3 linked regions of the Oryctolagus cuniculus genome follow. The protein of the gene in region 3 purifies or fractionates together with the protein of the main gene of each other region. This does not show direct contact. Links are inferred from orthologs where the notes say so. Each region holds a gene or a part of one and is shown on either strand. Other genes may lie near its edges. The genes, in order: SMARCD2, BCL7C and ARID1B.

Region 1 (7,772 bases), on a different chromosome or scaffold from region 3:
GTTTTCGGAATGGATCCATCATGGTGGGTGGCATGCCGGGTCGCAGTGGAGCCGCTGTGCCAAACGGGGAGCCAGCAGGGGGTCCCACCTGTAAGCCAGCCATGGGCATCCGGCTCCCTGGTGACATGCCAGGCCGCTGGGGGAAGTGGGCCAGTGGGGGCGCATAGGTCAGTGGCGGGGCACTGCGGGGCCAGCAGCCCATGCCGTCCATCCTCCACCCTGCTAGCCCAGCCCTGAGCAGCACACACAGCCCCGCTGGAGTGCCAGAACAAAGGAGAGCAGGTGCCTGAGAGCAGGGCGTAAACCACACCTGCCCTGCCCTGCCCTGCCCCGCCCCACCCCGCCCCCGCCTGGCAGCTCTGCTAGCAAATGAGCCCAGGGGTGGGAGGAGAACCCTGCTTACAGAGGGACGGGCCTAGGGAGCTTTCCTGGGTCCACAGCCACCTTCTAGCCTTGGCATGCTATGCCCACTCCCGGGACCAGCCAGCTTTGAGGCACACTTGAGACCCTCAGAGGATCCCACTAAGCATCCCCTTCCTTGTCTGAACCCATCTCAGGGTGCAAGTACGGCACGGGAAGTCTGGAGGCAGTGGCACAGCCAGGCTGAGGGAGATACTTGGATCTAAGCAGGTTGACAAGGCAGAGCCCCAATGCCTGTGCTGTGACCGAGGGAGAGAGGCAGCCGGGGGCCTGGTAAACCCAGGAGGCAGCAGCACCCCGGGTAAGCAACTGCAGGAGGATGGACTGGACGTGGCTCAGCCAGTGGGGGTGGCCTCCAGCACAGCGTGCAGACCATCTGGTCACCATATGGCCCTACCCACAGCCGGGAACTGGACTCTTCTCTTGCCTCCCCACTGTCTCACCCACACCCCGGTGCCAGAAGACCCGAAAGGGGAACTGCGGCGCCTGTGGGAGTGAGAGCAGCTGGCATCTGTGGTCCAGGCACTACCTGGCAGCCAGGACTGGCTCGAGTTCATCTGAGCCCTAGCAATCCCAAGCTAGAGGATGGGGAGATTATCCTGGATGCAAGGGTCAGAGTCAAGAAAGCGTCCGCAGCAGGAATCCGGGTGGCAGAGAGCCGCTTCAGAGTCTGCAGAAGGATTTCCCACCCAAGCCCAGCTCCCCAACATTTCTGTGGCGCCCATCTGGGAGTAACCTCTGCCCCCAGCCCCCTTCTCCACGGCTGCTGCCTGCAAGGCCTGTTTGGCAGCTCTGCCTTGCACACACTGTCCCTGGCAGCTTCACAGGGCTGGCCCCGGGGCCCAGATTATGCAACGAGCACAACCAGCCAGCCGAGCTGGGCTGGGTGGAGACTCACCCCAGATCACAGGACCCTCCCCCACGCCAGCATCGTGGAGACGATTCTCCCCAACCTCTCCTTCCAGCCCGCAACCCATGTTCCCAGCACAGAGGGTCAGATACTTGACCAGACGCACAGGAACACACCCCAGAGCTGTGGGGGGAAGGGCGGAGTGAGAACCAAGAGGTGAGAGCAGAGCGGGGGGCTCTGGGATCGGGAGTCCTGCCGCAGCCTCGCTCCATCAGGAAGGGATTCATTAGAGCTGTTGAAAGCAAGACAACCTACTTCTCCGCTTTAATGAGCCACAGCCAGAGATGGGGGGGGAGGGGGCAGCACTCAATGTGGCCGCAGCTGTAAGCCCAGGCCCCACACATGTCCCAGACTGCAACTTTTTTTTTTCCAGTGCCTGAGACAAGGGAGCAAGCAGCAATTGCAGGGGCGAGCTAGGGCCCTGCGGTCCCCACAAAGCCACTCACTAGGGCGCTCACCAAGCCTGCACCACCACCTAGCCCTCCTGAGCAGGTGCTCCGGAGACAGGAAGTCCCAGGACAAGGACAAGGCGCACAGGCAGGACCTGGAGCAGGTCCCGTGCCGGGCTCAGGGCCCCCGGCTCACCCTGGGCCCCAGGGAAAGGCTGCTTCGCAGCTGGAGTCCCAGTTCAGCCTTGCCAAGCTCCACACCTGGGCTTTGAAGCACCAGTAATTCCAACCCCTTCAAAAAACAACTCAGGAATTCTAAAAAAAGACCTACAACCTACAGCCCAAAACTCTCACCCTCCCTGACTCCTGACATGAAACAGGGTGAGGCAGGCCTGGTGGGGCCCCCTGAACCCCGAAAGTGTGCAGTGACCGCATCACCCGTCCCCCACACCAGCTGTTCCAAGGCCGGCCCCTCTGCTGAGCCGCCAGGTGAGCACGCGGTGCCCCGCCCCTGAGCTGTGGCCCTGCTGCTCAGGGTGTCAGCGGGGCATCCTGAGTTCTCTAGAGCAAAGCCAGCACCCGAGGTTTGGCCTTGAGCTTCTCTGCTGGCGGTGACCACCAGGCCCCCTCTGGAGGGAGGGGGCATCACAGCCCTTCCTTCCACAGGCTCCCTACCTGCCCGGCGTGGGCCTCGACTCCTTGCTCTTAGCTCCCTCTGCGAGTGCTGACAGACAGGAACCCTCAAGTCCCTTCTCCTGAAGTCACACAACGGGACCTGACTCAGCCCGGGGGGCCAGGTTCCCCTTCCCATCTCTCCGGAGGGGAGGAGGACAAAGTGGTGGCCAGGAAAGCCAGCCTCAGTGCCACTCCTAGTGGCCCACAGCCACGCAGCTAGGCCTGGCCACTGCCATCCTCTCAGGGGCATGGGCACTCTTCCCAAGGGCCGCATTGTCTGTTCCAGGTCCCTCCAAGGCCAAAGGCCCAGAGGTTCCCGGGCCAGGTCTCAGCAAACAGGCCCGAGGGCTGGAGTAACTGATGCAGGGACCCCTCAGCCACACCCTGAGTCCAGGAGTCCCCTAGGGAGTAGAGCAAGATAGGAGAGGAGGAGCCCCAGCGGGGCCCCTGGGACCAGGTCTCCCTCTGCACACACCCTCACCCTGTTTTCTTTTACGAAGGAGAGGGAATAAGGGAATACAAAATTCACTGTCCCCAGTAGGCATCGCCCGGGGATGTGAGAGCTCGGGGGTCCTGGAGGACACTCCCTGAGGACCCTCTGGGACCCCTGGCTGGGAGACACAATGAGGGAAGAGACCTTGGGAGACCAGCAAGCGGCAAACGCAGGGTGCATGGGTTAGGATGCGGGGTTGTCAGAACCCGGAGGCCAAGTAAATCGGAGAGGGCAGGGGGAAAAAAAAAGACAGGTATAATTCCTAAGCATTTGGGGCAACCTAAAATAACGGACCGGGAGACCAACCCCGCAGCAGGGCCAGACCGAGTGCTCACACGCCCGCCGTAAGGACCGTCGCGGCTCTGCCTCTCGGTGGCCTTTCGCGCTGCAACGTGAGCCTCTCTCGGACGTCAACCCGCAGGCGTCGGGACAGCGCTGGGAAGCAAACTCCTGCAGCCCCAGCCCGGCTCCTCCACTCAACCTCCCGCCACCAGGACGCCGCCAAGCAGAGAGCCCAGGACACGGTCTGCGCGCGATGGTCTCTCACTGGGCTGGGTCCTCCCTCCAGCCGGCTCGCCACCGCCTCTGGTCTAACCCGGAGTCAAATCCAGTGAAAAGCTCCTGGGTCTGCCCCTGCACACACAGGCTGGACTCCCCCGGCCCCAACCTCAGCCTCCCTGGCGGTGGGAAGCCAGGCCTCCTGCCGCCTCCTTAGCAGCTGGGAGCCATCTCAGACATGCTCCAGCCCTGCCAGTTCCCAACGAGAAAAAACAGGGCAGACTTGGAACAGGACCAAGGCCAACGCAGGGTAACCCCGGTCGCGCGGTGGGAGCCTTGTCCGAAACTTTCCCATCACATCCCGGGAACCCCGGACACGGGCTGCTCGGCCACGGTTCGCCGCCTCCCACAACTCCATCGCTCAGTTACTCGCAGCGCCCGCGCCAAGGAAGCCCTCGGAGCCCCCTCGCACTCCGCCACCGCCATAACCGAGCCGCGGCCAGAGGGCCCCCGCCGGGCCCTCCCCGGCCCCAGCGAGCTCCTGCCGCAGAGTCCTGCGCCCCCGGTCCAGGGGGCTCCCCCAGGGGCCCCACTCGAGGCGCCCTCGCTCCTCTCTCCTCACCTGGTACTGCGCCGCGGGGCCCGCGGGGCCCATGGGGCGGAAGGCGGCGGCCCCAGGGCCCCCCACGCCGCCAGCCGGCCCCGGGCCCCGGAGCGCCGGGCCCGGCAGCATGCCGGGTCCCGCCGGGGGAGGCGGCGCTCCCAGGGCGGCTGCCACGGCGCCGCCGCCGCCAGGGCTCAGCGGGGGCAGCGGGAACCCGCCCGCGCCACGGCCCGACATCGCTCCGTCCCGTCCCGGCCTCCGGGCTCCGCGTCGAGTCCGCTCCGCGCGCTGCGCTCCGCGATCCGGGACTTTCCGATCCTAATTCCGGGTTCCGGGCTTTGTGGATCCGGGATCCGGGATTTCCTAATCCAAGTTCGCGAGTTCCTTTCTGGCCTGGTCTGGGCCAGGGCCGACCCCGATTCCGCTCCTGGCCCGGGAGATTCCGGATCCGGGATAGGCTGCGGGCCCGCCTGCCGCCCCCGGCCTCGGGAGGTTTGGCCACCAGAGTCCGGTTACCCAAAGGCGGCGACTAACTCCCGGCCCCGCCCCACCCAGGCAGCACTCGGCCCCGCCCCTCCCTCGCAGTCCAATGCGAGACTGCCTCCTCAAATCCCGCCCTCGCGAGACGCACCCCTAGCAGGCACCGCCCCTAACCGCCGGCCTAGGGTACCGCCCACAACCCGTGGGCCCGCCCTTCGCGGAGAGGCGGGAGCGGAAGTGCGAACGGAAGTGCCGAGTGAGGCGGGGGGTCAGAAGTCGAAGGTCAGCGAGGTCCTGGGCTCTGCTAGCTCGGGTGTAGCCACTAAAGCGGATTAGTCCGCTACTCCCCCTCAAACTACTTCTGTTGAGTCTTTATACAGTTCAGCGTTGAAGACTCGGCCTGGGGCCGCCCTCTGACCTGGACGGCGCCAGGCCCAGGCCAGCTGTGTGAACCGTTGACTTGGCCTAGCGCCCGGTTCTTATCGCACATTTTTAACATGGCTCTGTCTCATTTTAAAGAAGCCTGGTACTTGACTCCACAGGAAATGGTTCTCGGCGAAGGAAATTTGCCCTGAGAAGCGCCCCCCCACCCCCCAGTTAAACAAGTTCTGTCTCCAGTATTTATAGCACTTTATCTTCAAACGTTCGGTACTACTGACCTGTATCAGAAGGTATTCCAAATAAACGCTTCAGCTGTGCCAGGTTCCTAACCCGCCCCCCACCCTCATGTGGGGTCTCCCCAGGACATAGACCAGTGCTTAGACTTTAATGAGCATACAGCACACCCGGGCTCTCATTATAAATGCAGATTATGGCTCACTGGGGCCGCGGCAGTCCTCCAACCCTCTGTTAGAAATTAGTTCCCACTCGTACCTCTGTAGCATTCCTTAGGTGACAAGCCCTGCTGCTCTGCTTTCCTGCATCTAAGATCCCTCTCCTCTTCCTCCCTAAAAGTTGGCCACCTGTCAGTATGGGGACAGACCCCTGCAACTGTGACAGTTACAGCCATCAAACCATGCCCCTTTCTACCCCAGCAAGGCTTCGTGATAAGGCAGCGAATGTCCCCTCCAACTCTGAAGCTTCCAGACCAGCGGTAGTTCTTGAGGAAGTGGTGGCCATTCCAAAATATCCCTGCCAGCCATACCTCCAAACCAATGACCTCCAGCGTTGCATTTTAAAAATAAGTTAGGTAATTCTAATACCCCTTGATGAGAACTACTGTAGAAAAGAAATAACTATTAAGTGCATTTAAAAACATTGTTAAATATAATCAGGTCGCATTAATCTGTTACTTAAAACTCCCCAGGTCCCCAGTGCCCTTAAATTGAATGCCGTACTCCCTCCCAGGATACGTAAGGCTCCGAAGAACCGGCTTACAGCTTCCTCCTTGGGCGGCTCATTTTAAATCACTGCCATTGGTTAAGTGCCAGCCAGCTGGTAGCCCTGCAGTTTCTCAAACCGCCAGGCCCCTTCCCTTCTCAGATGCTCTATGCTCCCAGCTCTTCCTTAACTTTTCTTCTCTCTCCCCTTACTTTACTTCCCACCAGCTATGTAATTACTTTTTTATGTGTGTACTGACGTATTGTCTGATCTGGTGCACCCACTAAAAATATAAACTTTATGAAGGCAGGAACAAACTTTCTCTATTGAGGTGAGATTCATGTAAAAATTATCTATTTGAAAGTGAACAGTTCAGTGGCATTACATTCACAATGTTGTGTAACCAGCATCTCTGTCTACTTCTAAAACATTTTTATTTCCCCAGAAGAATACCATTTAAATAGCTGCTCCCTATTCGCTCCTTCCTCCCAATCCCTGGCATCCACCAATCTTCATTCTGACTCTATAGCGTTATCTATTGTGGCTATTTCATATAAACGGAATCATAACTTGTGGCTTTCTTCCTTTAGCATTATGTTTTTGAGGTTCATCCATGTTGTAGCATGTAGCAATGCTTCATTTCTTTTTATGGCTGAGTAATAGCCCATTTTATGTATATACCACAATTAGTTTATCCATTGATAGACATCAGAGTTGTATCTGTTTCCTGGCTATTGTGACTAATGCTATTATGCACATGTGTGTACCTGTGTTTCTTTGAGTATCTGTTTTCAATTATTTTGGACATATACTGTGTCTCTATTGATAATTGTTATAATCTACTCAACAGATGTGTGTGGACAAATGATGCTTGAGTGTAGTGGGAGAGTGACAGATAATGTCAATAGTGAGTTGATATGGTAAAATACCCCCCAAATGGCTGCTATGGCTGGTGCTGCGCTGATCCAAAGCCAGGAGCCAGATGCTTCCTCCTGGTCTCTCATGTGGGTGCAGGGCCCAAGGACTTGGGTCATCCTCCACTGGCTCCCCGGGCCACAGCAGAGAGCTGGACTGGAAGAGGAGCAACCGGGACTAGAACCCGGTGTCCATATGGGATGCTGGTGCCGCAGGTGGAGGATTAACCAAGTGAGCCATGGCGTCAGCCCTGAAAAAAGAAATTTAATAGCTAACATTTATTGAGCATGTTAGCTCATTTAATTGTCATAACACATATGAGGCAGACACTATATTTACTTATATTTTAGAAATCAAGGCAGAGAGATTCAGCCACTTGATCACTCTCACTATGATGGCACTAGGATTCTAGTCTGGTTCCAGTCCGGCTCTAGAATCTACGATTCAGGAATTTAACCATTCTTTATCAGTTTGTTGGTAGTTGTGTGTCTGGTCTGTTATTACTTGCAAAGAAATAATGTTCAAACTGAAAAAGCAAGTTTCATGGAGACTCAGAGAAAAAGAGGTTGGTAGGCAGGTCCTGACTAATCAGCGAGATGCTATTGGTAGTCACGCAGTAGGCAAATGGGACCTGATGTTTCACTTCAGAACAATCCGGGACCTTGTGAAATGAGCTGGCCATAGAAAATAGATGTGGGAACAAGGGGAGGAGACGGCACTCCTACTGCAGTCCTCTTGGGACTTAACGGTGTGGCCAACTACAGGACCCAGTGTCATGGAGGCAGCATTCCCACGCCCTTGCTCCCTCAGCCTGGAATGCCTTTTTTTCTCCTCCCTTCCTCTTTGATACTCAGTGCCCACTTTTCAGGGATTTCATTCAGCAACTTTTACTGAGACCTTCCATGGTGCCACCCTGACAGTCCAGAGAGGGACTTCCTGCAACCTCTGGACACGGCTACCTCTAGAGATGCTCAGAGAAACAGGATGGAACTAAATTTTTTAATTTAACAAACTATTAATAATAAAGTATTTAATACAACCAGAGTCAAAGGGCCAATTCCAAGCACT
Region 2 (7,772 bases), on a different chromosome or scaffold from region 3:
CCTGCCCTGGCCAGCCTGGGCTCCGCCACAAGTCCTTCTTAAAGGGCTCCTTCAGGTTCCACTTTGGTCCTCTCTCAACTTGTTTGTTCCCTTTGTTAAATGTAATTTTTTTAAAAAAATGGGGCCAATGTAGGCACAGAGTGAGGGGACTTCATGTTACTGGAAGTTTTCCACAAACCACTGGAGAAGCTGGAGCCAAATTATTGTCCCATTGCTCAGATGAATAAACTGAGGCTTAAGGAGTAAAGAGCCTGTCTAGAGCCACACAGGTCATGAGGAACAGAGCCAGGACCTGAACCAGGGTCTCACTGGAGATCTGCCACATTGAGGGGCTGTCTGAGAGCCCAGCTCACATGCCACCTCCTCAGAGAAGCCTTCTGGGATAAGCCCAGCCCATTTGTTCATTCATTCATTCACAAAGCAGTGCAGGGACTGCTCTGTTCCCAGTGTTGTGCCAGGCAAGGCTGGGGAGCTCATTCTGTCCTCAGGAGCCCACGGGCTTATAGACAGACAGACACGCACACCTGGGATCCCAGACCGCCTGAGCCATGCTAAAGCCCAGGGAAGGAAGTCCAGCCCTGGGCGAAAACTCGGAAAAGGGGGAAATGACTGGACTGACTCAAGGAAGGCTTCTTGGAGGAGGTGGTGACTGAGCTGGGGACCAGGAGGACTCAGCGGGAAATGTGGGCCAGGGCAAAAGGCTACGCCAAGGCAGGGAGCGCTGCGCTCCACTTCCGGGGCGGGGGGGGGGGGCAGGAATGGGCCGGGTCCTTGGACCACGTTGGGGCCTCTATGTTCCTGCATGGGAAATGGAACCATGGGCCTCGCTGCCCAGAGCTTTGAGAACTACTGGGCCCTGGGGCTCTGAGCAGGAAGCAGAGAGGTTCTGGGATTCCCCGGAGAGGGAGGCCAGGGGAGGGGAGGTCAGAGTTGGGGGATGGGGCCGATGGGGGGCGTGGTGCGGAGGCAGGGGCCTGGCTCCCGGTGTGACTACAGCAAGGCCCTCTGGAGCCTCGAGCCTCGATGACCCCATCTGAGAAATGGAGCGAGAGACAAAAGTGCCTGCGGAGCCCCTCCCCAGCCCTGGCGGGAAATGACAGGACACAAAATTACAAAAGGGTCTTTATTTGTAAAAAAAAAAAAAAAAAAAAAAAAAAAAAAAAAATTGCCGAAGGGGCCCCTGGGGCGGCAGGCAGGCAGGACAAGCAGGCTGGCTGGCTGTGGCTTCTCAGGGGTCGGGGGCATTTGGGCAGATGCGCTTGAGTGGGGGGGCGCCCTCCGAGTCCTCTGTGTCCCCCTGGGCTGCCTCAGGGACAGGTGGCACTGGCTCAAAGACGGGGTAAGCTTCGGGGGCCTGGAGAGGAAGGGTGGACAGGCATGAGCCCCACCCGGACCCAGGCGTCCAGCCTCTGAGCCTGGGCTGTCTCTGCAACCACCTCTCGCCACGCCACACCACGCCACACCACGCCCCTCCCCAGACCTAGAAGTCTGCTCAGGGCAGCGACCGACTGCGCCAGGATCGGGCTCTTGCGCTCTCAAGACTGAACCGGGGACTATGTGAGGCTAACTCGACCGGTCAGGGTTTGCTGTCCTTAATGCCTGGGGGTCACCGCGGTTTGCTTATTGGTTTGTTCGTTTGTTTGGTTCAGGCTTTTCATGGTCTGAGGTCGGCCCTGATCCAGCCCTCAGGAAGCTGTCTCTGAAACACCCTTTTCTTTTCTGTCCCCAAGAACCCGGCCGCTAAGGCCCTGGCTGGGTGCTGGGTCCACACCTCCCGCCCGGACCGCACCCGCGCCGGTGCCACGTTCCCTCGAGACCCGGGAGTGCAGCCTTGCGGCCTCTCTCACCTCAGCCTCCAGCAGCTCTGGAACCGGCTCCTCCTTGGTCAGCATGGGGGGTTCGTCCGTGCTGCCTGCAGTTATGCCCCCGGGATCTGGAATGTCAAGTGAACAGTCATTCCCTGAGCAGCCACTCTGTGCCCAGAGGTCAGACTGGGAGAAATGCACGCACGTGCGCGCGCGCACACACACACACAGGCAGCTGGACAGAGAGAAAGGGGCCCAGGACCTGGCTGAAGTCCCAGCCCCAGACTGAAGCAGGAACACTTATGCAGGATCTGCAAAGCGGTGTAGCTTTACCAAGAAAAACACACTTCAGACAAAGGGAACGCAGGGTAGTGAGCACAGGTCCTGGAGTTCAGCGGCCGCCTTCAGATCCTGGCCTTGGGCCGGCTCCTTCCGTCTCTTGGGGCCTCTCCTTAGCCATCCATAACATGGGGCCAGGGGTCGCAGTTGGTGCATGACTCTCGGGAGGAGGAGGCGAGGTAGTACAGCTCAAAGTGTTTGGCACCCAGCACGTGCGCCAGAAATGCCAGTTACTGCTTCTCTATTAGCACAGGTGTCCAGGCTCAGCCCCTAGGCCCAAGCCGTGGCTTTGGTGGCGGGCAGGGCACGGCGCACAGGGGGCCCTCAGCGTCCAGCTCAGGGGGCAGAAGGAGCCACAGCAGGAAAATGAGCCCCACCCGGCCCCCCGCTTCAGGCAGAGCTGTGCTACAGCTGCGGGGCGGCTGGAGCCAGGCTGTGGCCTGGGGAGGCCACGCTGGGCGGGGGTGAACTGGAAGAAAGAGGAGCTGAGGAGCCTCAACCTGAAGACGCTGTGTGAGCTCGGGCGACCGACTTAACCTTGCTGATCTGCCTCCTCAGCTACAAACAGGAAGCAGGGCAGGCTAACCCCTCCGAGGCGGCGAGTCAATGAGATAAAACAGAACAGAGTGTTTGGAAGGCACCTGGCACGCAGTAAGAGCTCAATCAATAGCGCCCGTGAGTAGCTTCGTCTTTTAGTCACTCGACAAACATTGATTGAGCACCTATTATGCGTCCCACTAGACTTGGAGGATGCCGTGAACAAGATCGGGGAGGGCCCGACCTCCAGGAAGCCGACACGAGACGGGGCAGGAAGACAGTATGTGAGCAGCAACTGAAATTGATAGGGAAATGCCAGAGGAGACGGCAGGGGCGGGCACTGTTTCCACGGGGCTCATGGGAGAGGGGCAGGTAGCGGGGTGAGCTGCTGGGCGCAGAGAAGGGGGCTCTGGGTGGCACCTGATCCTACCTCTCTCTTGGCCCAGCCGTGGGGGCTGAGCCTCCTCAGGGACCCCTTCCGGGGCTCCGGCGGGTGACACAGGGCGGCTGGGCTGTGGGGTGCCCCCGGGGCTGGGCTCGGTACCCTTGTGCAGGGAGCCTTCCGAGTGGAAGCTCTGGTTGCTGTTCTCATCTGCAGAAACAAGAGCCCAGAGGGTCGGCCTGAGGCCCCCAGGCCCCTCCTCCAGGTCCCACAGCCACCCCTCCCCGCCCCCGGCAATGCCTGGGCCCCCACACATACCATTGAGATCTAGCAGGATGAGCGGGCCGCCCCCTCGGGGACTGGCACCCCTGCCTCGCCGCTCTCGGCCACGGGATCGCTCTGCCCCGCCACCTGCCCGCCGCCGCTCCTGGGGGTGACAGGGATGAGGATCAGAGCCAGCGTTTCCCGGCAGCCCTGGCAGAGCCCCACGGGGACAAACGGGGAAACTGAGGCACAGAGAAACCCAAGGCCCAGCCAGAGGTGACAGAGGCTGTGCGTGCTGGGTTAGCCTTGCAGGGGGGGGGTCTGGAGCAGGAAAGGGGGAGGGGGAGGGGCAGCCGAGTAATCCTGAACATCTGGGCTGCGGTAGGCACTGGAGGTGGAGGCCAGGGTGGGGAGGAGCTGGGCTGAGACTGCACAGATGCAGGGTCTTGGGGGGTGGGGGGTGGGCTTGCTCACCTCCTCCTGGGGGTCCACCACCGGCACCCACTTGAAGATGCGAAGGGAAGTGTCGCCCACAGTCACCCAACGCTTCTCCCTGTGGGAGGGTGGGGTGCTGGGTCAGAGAGGCCTGAGGGGAGAGGCGCCCCCCCCCCCCGCGCGCACCCGCCTGACCCGCCGCCTCCGCCTCTGCCCCAGGTACCACATCTGCAAGGTGGGGGAGGTGCACGAGGGTTGGGGCGGTTTTGCGAATGAGGCACTGTTGGAGAGAGCGAGCCCAGGGCAAAGATGGGGAGGGGGCGCCCCGGGCACGCCTCGGGGCCATGGCTAGGGCAGAACCCCTCCGGAGGGAGGGGGCCATCCCTGGGGACGCAGCTCGGAGCCCGGGCCATACTTGCAGGAGTGTCAGAGCTTCAGGGGGCGGGGCACGGACGAGGGCTCCCGCCCGGCGAAGGCACGGCTGGGGACCACGCTTTGTAGACCTCCGGGGGTAGCCCGGGGAAGGGAGACGGAGCCCTGGGGATCCCGCGCACAGCTGGTGGCCGGGGGCGCACCTAACACCTGGGGGGCGCAGCTGGCGAGGGGAGGGGAGGCGCGCGAGGGGGCGGTGGTCCCCGCCAGGGTCCCGGCCCCGGCCGCGGGGCAGCGCTCACCATCGCCGGACTTTCTCGATGGTCGCCATCACCTTCTTGATGTCATCCTTGGCCCGGCTCCGGGTCTCAGCCCGTACGGTCCGGCCGGCCATGCTGGCGGCGCTGGGGCCGGGGCCGAGCCCGCGGCGGGGCTGCCTCCCGTCCGGCGGGCTCAGGCTCGGCGCCAGGCCGGGGCGCCGCTCTCGCCGCCCGCCGTCCCCTCCGGGAGTTGGCCGCGCCCTCCCTCGCTCCCCAACGCCTCCGCGAGTCCCCGCCCCGCTTCCTGCCGCCGCGCCCCGCCCCGGCCCGTCCCCGGAGCGGCCGGGCGGCGCGGGTGCCGGAGCCCAGGCCTGGAAGCCGGGCCAGCCCCGCCCCGCCCCGGGCCCGCCCCTTCGGGGGCGCCCGGACGCGCAGCGCCCCCTGTCCGCCGCCGAGAGCGAGCGAGAGTTGGGGGCCCGCTGGCTCGGCGACTTGGACGCGCGCGGCTCCGCCGAGGCGGCGCGTCCAGACCACGTGGGCGCTCGGGTGCACGAGAGGGTCTGGGTGCAGGTGTGCGAACCTGAGACACCGTGTGTGTGTCCCCGGACACCCCCTCCTCCCTCGCCGGGCTGGCTGATTCTACGCTGCCCAACTTAATTCGTTCACCCATTCATTCATTCAACGATCTAGCAGCCCAGTGCCAATTACGCGCCACAGCTGCACACATGAGTGAGTCTCCACCCCCCAGGATGGCTATAGCGAGAACGACAGGCCATACCGAGTGTGGGCGGGCCAGCGGAGCCGCGCGGCCTCCCTTCTGTTTCTGGGGGAGTGGGAATTGGTAGAGACTTTCCCATGAAGCTGAACAAAGACCAGCCCAGGAATCCAGCACGTCAGCACCCAGCAGAAATGCTTAGACAGGAGCACCAAGAGCCGTGAGCTGGGATGTTCACAGCCGCGTTCTTAACAGCCCCGAACCGTAAACGGCTTACCAAGAGGAGACTGGGAAGTGGGTTGCAGCTATTGATACCCAAGACAGAGACCCAGCGGGCAAGAATGCCCGCTGTCCCACTACACCCAGCGACGGGACAAGTCTCCCTCAGCAGATCTTGAGTTTAAGCCAGATACACCACCTGGTTCTATTTCTATGAAGTTCGAAAGCAGATAGGAAAATGTCAGGATTAGGAAGCCGGGAGGGTGTCTCTTTCGGGACTGGGAGGGGTCCCAGAGGGGCTTCTGGGAACCCATCATGTCTGTTTCCTAATGTGGCCCGGGCTCCCTGGGCAAAGTTCCTCTGAAAATTCATCAAGCTGGGCGCTGGGGATGTGTGCGTTTCTCCATCTGTGTTTTGCAGTTGACTCAGAAGTTTCCTTGCAGAAAATGATTGGTTGATTCGAAGGCTCCTTTATCAGCAGATCTGATCGTGTCTAAATCGGTGCAGCTGTGTGTGGCTGTCCTGTCTCTGACCCTGTCCAGAGGGGTTACAGGATTGGGAAGACAGCCTTGACAGCATTTCAGGAGCTGGCCCGCCATGGTAAACATCCCGGGTCAGCCACACCCCGTTACGTGAACTCGGACAAGCCACTTATATCTACTTCCTCAACTAAAACTTGGCAGTAACTTAATATGCACTTAGAACAGTGGTCAGCACGTAGTAAAAGACCTCAATAAAAATTTACTGTTGGGGTCGGCACTGTGGTGCAGCGGGGTTAAGCCTCCGCCTGCAGTGCCGGCATCACATATGGGTGCCTGTGCAGAGTCCCAGCTCCTCCACTTCCCGATCCAGCTCCCTGCTGATATACGTGGGGAAGCAACAGAAGGCGGTGCAAGTCCTTGGGCCCCTGCATCCATGTGGAAGACCTGGAAGAAGCTCCAAGCTCCTGGCTTTGGCCTGTCCCAGCCCTGGCCATTGCAGCCATTCGGGGAGTGAACCAGCAGATGGAAGATCTCTCTCTCTCTCTCTCTCTCTCCCTCTCCCTCTCCTTCTCCCTCTCCCTCTCTGTAACTCTGCCTTTCAAATAAATAATTTTTTTAAAAAAATTGCTGTTATTGGAGCTGGCACTGTGGTGTAGTGGGTAAAGCCACTGCCTGCAGTGCCAGCATTCCATATGGGCACCAGTTCGAGACCCGGCTGCTCCACTTCCGATCCAGCTCTCTGCTGTGGCCTGGGAAAGCAGTAGAAGATGGCCCACATGCTTGGGCCCCTGCGCCCACATGGGAGATCTGGAAGAAGCTCCTGGCTTCTTCAACTCTGGCTGTTGAGGCCAACTGGGGAGTGAACCAACGGATAGAAGACCTCTCTCTCTGTCTCTCTGTCTCTGTCTCTCTGTCTCTGCCTCTCCTTCTCTCTGTGTGTAACTCTGACTTTCAAATAAATAAATAACTCTTAAAAAAAATCGCTGTTACTAAGGGTGTCATTGTGACACGGGTCACAGTCCGGTTTCAGTTGCACCTGCTGGGCCCTCTGCTGGTTACTTCTCTTCCTCCTTTCTGCCGGAGAGCTCTGCTCAAGCCAATATCCTCAGTGACACACGCACCTCCTTCTCAGTCCGGCTGCTCCCAACTGTAGTCAGACTGTGAGCCCCGCAGGAGGCTAGAATCCAAAAGTGAGTGTGGCGCCTGTCTGTCCCACACCCGGACAGAGGCAGCACCTGGTTCAGGTTAATGGGGTTGACTTTCGGGTGTGTCCAGATTTCCAGGGAGAGGAGATGTAGGAGGGGGCGGGGTCTGTCCTGGGTCCCCAAGGTTAAGGCGAGGTGGAACGTCTGCCTCCCTCCTGGGAGGTGTGCCGGGCAGCCAGGAAGGCATCTTTAGCGGAGCAGAAAGGTGTCTGTCTGGACAAGTGCGCCCCAAGCCAGAGGCCCCCACGGCACCCAGCCCCCAGCCCAGAGGGAGGGCCTGTGCATTCTTGTCCTGCCAGCCCCAAAGCAGCCCGGGCGCCAAGCCCTGCCTCCCCCTGCCTCCCCCCGCCTCTCCCCGCCTCCCCCCGCAGCAGGACACAGGGTGGCCTCCCAGGCCCCGAAACCCCCAGTCCCGAGCTCCGGAGCCCATCCTGAAGACCGCCTGCCTGCCCCTTCCACCCGACCAGGCTGCGCAGGCGGGGGATCTGAGCTCAGGGCCGAAGAATCTTGCTTGGAAGTGGAGGGGGGTCATGTTTGGGGTCTGGGCGCTGATTGGCTGCGCCCGGGCCACGCCCCTACCCCTTTCCCCACTTCCCCCCCCCCTCGGAAGGGGGGCGTGGAGGGAACCGGGATCAACCAGGGGCCAGCATGAGCCGGAGGGAGGGAAGTCTGGGTAAGGGGCTGTGAGGGACCTGACGCTGGGTCCCTGAAGGGCGCAGGAGCCAGCAGGGTTGGAAGTTGGGGTCTGGGGCTCCAC
Region 3 (7,714 bases):
CTAAAAAGCACAAGGTTTCCAAATGTAATGAAGTGTTCCTTCCTTAATATCACTGTTCATGTTTCTGGATATGTTAGATAGCCTTTAGTGAAATTCGACTTAGGGTTCTAGGAAGTCTGGCCTCGACAGTGATGGGTTCTTGTCACAGTCACAGCCATGGAGATTTAGGGTAAGGGGCAAGAGCCTGCTAACGGCAGCCAGCAGGGAATGCTCTTGGATGGGGCAGCCCAGGTCTGCTTCTTTGCTGGCCAAGTTCTCCACGACGTCCACAGCTAGACCGTGGTGTGCTTCAGTGGGTTAATTTTTTATCTCCCCAATATAGATAGGACCAAAGTGATATTTATATTTTTATTTTTAAGGATAGCACAAAGTAGGTTCCAGGTGAATTTGTTGAGGGGCTAAATGTAGTTTATCCGTATCTGGCTTTTTGTCCACACTGTAATTTTCTTAGAAGTGTGACGGTGCTGTTGTTTGCCATAGTTACCAAGTGTATTTAGTTTATTGCCTGGATTTAAAAAAAAAATCCTGCCTAAATTTTTTTTTTTTGCCTTCGTGAACTCACTGCTACTGATAATTTGCATAGTTGTTTCAGATTAAATGCTATACCCCATATCTTTCATTGACTCGGAGTTGTTCACTGCCAACATCTAAATCGGAGAAGTGAAAAGGACAATTGTTTAGTGCTTTTTAAAGTCCCTGACCAAGATCAGTAGGGAAATCCCATTAGCTCCATTCATCGCATTTCTCATAAATCTAAAAGGAAAGCAAGTATCCAAAGCCTTATTCTTTAATAGTTCTTATTTGTAAAACCTTGACAGGGCTTTATTCTAAATTGCTTCCAAATTACATAAAGAATACTGAGAAATATGATGGGCAGTGGGTTGTGATGGTTTCAGTCATGGAATAAATAAGTAGAACAGTGAAAGGGGACTGATCTGAAAGCAAACAGAGTATGATGGGCTAGGAAGAGGCGGAAAGAACAGACTGCGGCTCAACCATCTGGCTCAACCCTCTGTAAGTGGGCAAGCTGAAGAGCCTTTTATTCAGTGTCCTACAACTTATTCAAAAGGGGCAGAATTTGAATATTAATATTTCCATATAGTTAAAAAAAAGCCCCGACGCTTTTGTAACCAAAAAGGAATGTTTAACAAAATAATGGGTAATCCTCTGGCTAAACATGGCCTAGGAGCACCCTGTGGGTGGGAGGTGGCTTCAGGCCACGGGCAGGGGCTGAGGCTCCCCCTCCTCCTGGTGCTTAGGGAAACTTACTAAAGTTGTCACTGTGGTTGGAAATTCAGACAAGGGGTGTAAAAGTAAGGAACTCATCAGGAAAAAGGCACACGGTGATGTCCGGGATCTTATTTCATCCAAAAGGAAGAAAAAAGTAGAATTGCCATCCAGGGTAACTGAGGCAAGCGACACAGCAGAAATGCTAATCGGTGGGTGAATTCTTGCTTTTGTGAAATGGGAACCTATTTCCTCTCTTTATAACCAACCCCTGACAATTTCCACTTTGTGTAGTAAGTCTTGGGTGCTTAAGTGAAACTATGGTTGGAGAAATAGGATTCCAATGAAGGTGTTTCAGAAAGAGGTCTCAGCCTTCTCCGTGGTAGAAAACACAAAACCAAGTCCTGCGGGCTTTGTGCTGTGTTTCTCTTGCAGGCTGCACTGCCTTCTGTCTGCGTCAGGGTGTGGCATCTGCTGCTGGAGAGGAAGAACTGGCATGTGTCGCCTTTTAGAGCAGGCCCCTGTCATTGTGCTGGGGCCTGGGTTTTACAGGCTCTTGGTCCCAGTCTTCCAGCTGAAGCCTTGCTGAAGCAAACGGAATATACAGAGATTGTGGATTATATGTCGAATTCTCTTTTTAGTTTTGTGATTTTTTTTCTGATATGAAAAAATATTTCTAAGGCCCAGAAGTGAACTTGGCGATTCCCTTTTAGGACTAGTTGTGAAAAGCAGCCAGGACGTACGGCTGAACTTGTAGGAACTGACTTTGATCTAGCTTATCAATCTGAATAAAAGCACTGTATGATTATTTGCATATAGTTTGATTATCAATGTCTGAAGCATAAACAAGATTGATTTTAGAATACATGTATATAGATACATAAAACATTTATATTTGCATATGAAAACTTTAAAATGCAACATATGTGGTTAATACGTATAATTAGTATGTATTTGAATATATAGAGAAAAGCCAGGGAAAAAAATGTCAAAAGGCCCACTAAAAGAGATGTAGTGTTCTCTTGGCACAAACTGATGATTTGGCATGACTTCCTCTTACAGTTCTGTTATTGTCTCTTACCCGTTTTCCAGTTGTTTGGACAGAATGGCAATTTGTTGTTTCTTCTCCAAATAACGACCCTTGGGTGTGCGCCTGGCTCCCCGCCCCCACCAGTCACCAGTAGCTCCGTCTGGCTATCTGTCTCTAGTCAGGTAACATGCTTACACTTGGTCAAGCATACATAACTAGTGCATCCGAAACAAGCCGAAATGCTTGCTATGGAAAGCTGAGGAATGAAATGATTTTGGAAAACTATACTCTACCAAAATCGTGTATCTCATTTCTGGGAGTGTGACCCCTGGAGAGCTGGAGAGTACTTCTTAAGAAGTACTGTTACTAAAGATACTCATAATGATACTAGGTGGTAAACTCATAATAAAAACTGTTGCAATACACAACTGTGTACTATTTCTGCTTTTACATTAGATTGGACTGTTTTATAGTTATTGATCTTGTATTTATATTACATTTAACATCTATTGAGTTTTGTTTCATGTTACTTGGAAAGAAACTTTCTCAAGAGGGTTCTCTGTGCCCGTTACCCTCTGAAATAACGCTGGAAGGTGCTACTACATCACCGGAGGGGGGGGGATTCGACTTTGGACAAATAGTGGCATCTGCGTGGGAAAGCTGTGTGCCGCGTGACCCTCGGCTGCGTGTGCCCGAGACAGAGAGGACACAGGGGTGCGAGCTCTCCCCACAGACTCCTTGCACAGGAATCTAGGGTGCCTTAAAAACAGCCACGTAGCCATTATCTCTGGGGCAGGTGCCGGCATCGGTGAGCATCCATTGAGTACCTGCTGTGTACAGGGCTCTGTGCTCTTCGAACGCGGCTAACCCTCCCCGAAAGCCCTTCCTGAATTCTGCAGTTGGAAGAAGTTGTGGGAATCACGCCGATGGCCAGGAATCAAGGCAGGGAGGCCAACGTTCTGGAAAATTACATAACTCCTGTGAGAGCCAGCGCTTTTGCAGATCGCCCAAATATTTTCTTTCCTCCGTGGGCTCCTCGTCACCTCGGAGGCCCACGGACAACTTCGTGCCCCAGCCCTTCTTCCCTCTTTTGTCTGCTCGCCACAGACTCGTTTTTCCACCTTTGGAGCGTTCCTTTTAGACGCGAAAACAAACACGCGAACGCCCGGTTGGCAAGGAGACGGAGGCACGAGGGGAAAGTGCAGCTCCGGCCGCCTCTCGCCGCCGCGCTCCGAGCGGCTGCCCAGCCGGCCTTGGCCCGGGCCTGCGCGCGGCCCCCGGCCCCCGGCCCCCGGCCCCCGAGGCTGCGCCGGCACGGGCGGGCGGCTGCGGCCCGCGCCGAGTCCAGTCCGCGTTTTGCGAGTGCACAGGAGCAATCAGAGAGAAGTGGGATAATAGTTGCTCCAGCTCGCTCGGCTCCTTCTCGTGCCATGCTGGGCCCGATAGGCTCAGCCGGTCGTGTATTTACCCATATCCGGGTTAGAGAGGAAAAGAGAAAAGTTTCGTTTAAACCTGAACTAAAAACTTTCACCGTGAAAGCACACAGCGGGAGCAGGCCCAGACCGTAAGGCGTGCCCCGGGCCCGGCGCTCCGGCGGGGCCTGCGGAGGGGGAGGGGGCCGGCGGCTTCCCGGCGGGCCGCGTGGATGCGCGCAGGAGGGGCCGCGGCCTGAAAAGTGGGGGTATTGTCTCCCCCCGCCGCCCGCCCGGCCTCGCCACGCCGCGGCGATCATGGCCGCGCGGGCAGCAGCGGCGGCGGCGGCGCGGGCGCGGGCGGGCAGCGGCGAGCGGCGGGCGCCCCCCGGGCCGCGGCCGGCGCCCGGGGCCCGGGACCTGGAGGCGGGGGCGCGCGGCGCGGCGGCGGCACCGGCGGCACCGGGACCCATGCTGGGGGGCGGCGGCGGCGGCGGCCTGAATAATGTGCACCACCACCCCCTGCACCCCCGTCACGAGCTGAACATGGCCCATAACGCGAGCGCCGCGGCCCCGGCCGCCGCCGCCAGCACTAGCAGCGCCAAGAGCGGCGGCTCGGAGGCGGCTCTCAAGGAGGCTGGAAGCGCCGCCGCGCTGTCCTCCTCCTCCTCCTCCTCCGCGGCGGCGGCGGCGGCGGCGTCCTCCTCTTCCTCCTCGTCGGGCCCGGGCTCGGCCATGGAGACGGGGCTGCTCCCCAACCACAAACTGAAAGCCGTTGGCGAGGCCCCCGCCGCACCGCCCCACCACCACCACCACCACCATGCCCACCACCACGACCACCATGCCCACCTCCACCACCACCACCACCATCACCACCACCACCACGCACTACAGCAGCAGCTAAACCAGTTCCAGCAGCAGCAGCAACAGCAGCAGCAGCAGCAGCAGCAACAACATCCCATTTCCAACAACAGCCTGGGCGGCGCGGGCGGCGGCGGCGGCGCGCCTCAGCCGGGCCCCGACATGGAGCAGCCGCAACATGGAGGCGCCAAGGACAGTGCCGCGGGCAGCCAGGCCGACCCCCCGGGCCAGCCGCTGCTGAGCAAGCCGGGCGACGAGGACGACGCGCCGCCCAAGATGGGGGAGCCGGCGGGCGGCCGCTACGAGCACCCGGGCCTGGGCGCCCTGGGCGCGCAGCAGTCGCCGGCCGCCGTGCCCGGGGGCGGCGGCCAGGCGGCCGTCTCGGAGTTTAATAATTACTATGGCAGCGCTGCCCCTGCTAGCGGCGGCCCCGGCGGCCGCGCTGGGCCTTGCTTTGATCAACATGGCGGACAACAAAGCCCCGGGATGGGGATGATGCATTCCGCCTCAGCCGCCGCCGGGGCCCCCAGCAGCATGGACCCCCTGCAGAACTCCCACGAAGGGTACCCCAACAGCCAGTACAACCATTATCCGGGCTACAGCCGGCCCGGCGCGGGCGGCGGCGGCGGCGGCGGCGGAGGCGGAGGAGGAGGAGGAGGCAGCGGAGGAGGAGGAGGAGGAGGAGGAGCAGGAGCAGGAGCAGGAGCAGGAGCGGGAGCTGTGGCGGCGGCGGCCGCGGCGGCGGCAGCAGCAGCAGCAGGAGGCGGCGGCGGCGGCGGCGGCAGCTATGGGGGCTCGTCCTCGGGGTACGGGGTGCTGAGCTCCCCCCGGCAGCAGGGCGGCGGCATGATGATGGGCCCCGGGGGCGGCGGGGCCGCGAGCCTCAGCAAGGCGGCCGCCGGCGCGGCGGCGGGGGGCTTCCAGCGCTTCGCCGGGCAGAACCAGCACCCGTCGGGGGCCACCCCGACCCTCAACCAGCTGCTCACCTCGCCCAGCCCCATGATGCGGAGCTACGGCGGCAGCTACCCCGACTACAGCAGCCCCAGCGCGCCGCCGCCGCCGCCGTCGCAGCCCCAGTCCCAGGCGGCGGCGGCGGCGGGGGCGGCGGCGGGCGGCCAGCAGGCGGCCGCGGGCATGGGCTTGGGCAAGGACATGGGCGCCCAGTATGCCGCTGCCAGCCCGGCCTGGGCGGCCGCGCAACAAAGGAGTCACCCGGCGATGAGTCCCGGCACCCCCGGACCGACCATGGGCAGATCCCAGGTAACCCCCGCGCCGGCCGGGCCTGCTTCCGCCCGGCGGCCTCGCCGCGCCGCGAGCCCGAGTTTCTTTCTTTGCCGCGTACTTTTCCCCAGTTTTCTGGTTGGGGGGCGGCGGGGGCGCGGCGCCCAGGGCCATCTTCGCGGGCGGCCGCCTCCCGCCGAGGTCGGGCGCGCGAGCGTCCGCCCGCCGAGTCCGGGCCGCGCCGTGCGGGCCGCGCAGGGCTTCGCCCGCGGCCGCGGGCCGGGCCGGGCGCTCCGGTGCCCGGTGGACCCGCAGCCTCGCCCCGCCGGCTCTCCCGAGGCGCTGGGGTGGTGACGGGATTCCGAGACAGCGCCCGCGGTCGCGGGAGGCTGTGGGGGCCCGGGGCTGGGTGCGGGGGGCTTTTGTGACGGAATCGGCTCTCCGGGCCGCTGAGGTCTGGGGATGGGGGGGGGGTGTTGACCAGATCTGCCCGGGGAGCGCCCACAGTGTGCCCTCGCTGGGAGAAGAATGAGGAACTTTCTCCCACCTTCAGCCTCGTCCTTCCAGGGCGGCAAGGCGGGGAACACGGGTTAGCCTGGTGACAGCCGAGGGGGTTTTTCCTAGTTGGATAGAGCCCCCCGGAGATCTTCGATGCGGGGATCGAGTTTGAGTGTTTACTAGCAGGGGCGGGGAGAGGGGGGAGAAAAAAATAGAAAGGCGCGATTTACAACGACGTGGAGGCAAAATATCTGAAATCTATCGATTCATTCCCGAGAATAGCCGGGGAAATCCATTATGGGGCTTCGGGCCGGCTGCAAGGAGTCACCTTCAGCGCCGAGGCTGTGTGCAAGGAACACGTTTCCCGACCCATTGAACTTCTCTTGCTCGCGGGCTAGGCATACACGCTGCTCAGCAAATCCAGCAGGAGAGCAGGCCTGTGCAAATGGGGCATTTCGGATCGTGTTTATTGGGGTTTTCTTTCTCCTGCCGTCACCGAAGTCCTCCGGCGCTGTTCCGGAGTGTCCGGCGCGCTGGCTGTTTCTTGCTGGTAGGCTGAGCCTAAAGACTGACTTGATCTCCTTTGCAAGGTTTGGAATTTGAATTGTGGAGGTAAACTGGCTGTAATAGTCTCCAGACAGCTGCCTCTGAGTTGACATCTAATCTGCCATCTGATTGGCTCCCCTCTCACCATTGGGCATTTAGCACTGCTGATGTAAATAGAAGTGCTGAGCAGTACAGTCACAAAAATTCTTGCCACAAATAATAACTGCACTCTATTACAAGCAGATGTAAGCCTGCGTATTATTTAAAGCTTAAACTTGTCGCGCATCACGGTTATTAGTAAGAGGATTCGGCACAGAAAAACATCACACCGTGGTCCAGTCTTGGGCATTCACAAAACTGAGCTCTTTGATGACAATCTTGCAATATGGACACGACATATATCATGGACTACAATTGTAGGTGGACGATAGGGCCAGTGAAAAATAATTCAGCCACAAATTTTACCAATTACAGGGTTTGCTAAGGATATGTATATATATATATATATGCCCTTTATTAATTCAGTTATAAAACATTTGATTTGTGGTAGCACATGTTTAATATAACATTAAAAATTTCAAGATTCTGATGTCCAGCAAATCTTATGGTGACAGGCTTTCAGTGGGATTAAGGCTATGTATTTCTAGTGTTTTGCGTTCTGGCTGTTTTAAAATGTTTGTGAGTGAAGAATTTTAGTTAAAACTGGCATATTTAAAAAGATGAAACGATATCATAATTTTTGCAGAGAACGGTTAATTAAACGGGAAACAATGGGTGTTTCTTTGAAGTACTAAAATCATTTTATATTTTCTTCTTCCTTGGAGGATACAGAAATGCCACAGAATCTTTTTTTCCTCTTGATTGTTTTGTTAGAGCAGGTAACGTAAGGTTTATCTGAACTGCTTACACAATGAGTTAG

The links.
Region 1: the proteins of ARID1B (region 3) and SMARCD2 purify together in Homo sapiens (affinity purification with mass spectrometry; 5 studies listed by BioGRID and IntAct, with this or other methods). This does not show direct contact. The link is inferred for Oryctolagus cuniculus from reciprocal best matches to the Homo sapiens genes ARID1B and SMARCD2.
Region 2: the proteins of ARID1B (region 3) and BCL7C purify together in Homo sapiens (affinity purification with mass spectrometry; 4 studies listed by BioGRID and IntAct, counting the BioPlex papers as one, with this or other methods). This does not show direct contact. The link is inferred for Oryctolagus cuniculus from reciprocal best matches to the Homo sapiens genes ARID1B and BCL7C.

What each region holds. Positions count from the first base shown.
Region 1 is NC_091448.1:14,874,205-14,881,976, reverse strand, and holds the start of SMARCD2 (SWI/SNF-related matrix-associated actin-dependent regulator of chromatin subfamily D member 2), read right to left. Parts: upstream 4,452-7,772; 5' UTR 4,227-4,451; coding exon 4,008-4,226; intron 3,620-4,007; exon of another isoform or gene 3,194-3,619; intron 137-3,193; coding exon 1-136. UniProt on the Homo sapiens protein: Involved in transcriptional activation and repression of select genes by chromatin remodeling (alteration of DNA-nucleosome topology).
Region 2 is NC_091450.1:6,248,802-6,256,573, reverse strand, and holds the start of BCL7C (B-cell CLL/lymphoma 7 protein family member C), read right to left. Parts: upstream 4,741-7,772; 5' UTR 4,529-4,740; coding exon 4,437-4,528; intron 3,881-4,436; coding exon 3,802-3,880; intron 3,491-3,801; coding exon 3,382-3,490; intron 3,274-3,381; coding exon 3,112-3,273; exon of another isoform or gene 2,886-3,111; intron 2,796-2,885; exon of another isoform or gene 1,934-2,795; coding exon 1,848-1,933; exon of another isoform or gene 1,355-1,847; coding exon of another isoform or gene 1,229-1,354; exon of another isoform or gene 1-1,228. Other genes in the region: CTF1 (cardiotrophin-1), read left to right, coding at 7,664-7,688. UniProt on the Homo sapiens protein: May play an anti-apoptotic role.
Region 3 is NC_091436.1:10,837,985-10,845,698, reverse strand, and holds the start of ARID1B (AT-rich interactive domain-containing protein 1B), read left to right. Parts: upstream 1-3,326; 5' UTR 3,327-3,987; coding exon 3,988-5,790; intron 5,791-6,255; exon of another isoform or gene 6,256-6,340; intron 6,341-7,714. UniProt on the Homo sapiens protein: Involved in transcriptional activation and repression of select genes by chromatin remodeling (alteration of DNA-nucleosome topology).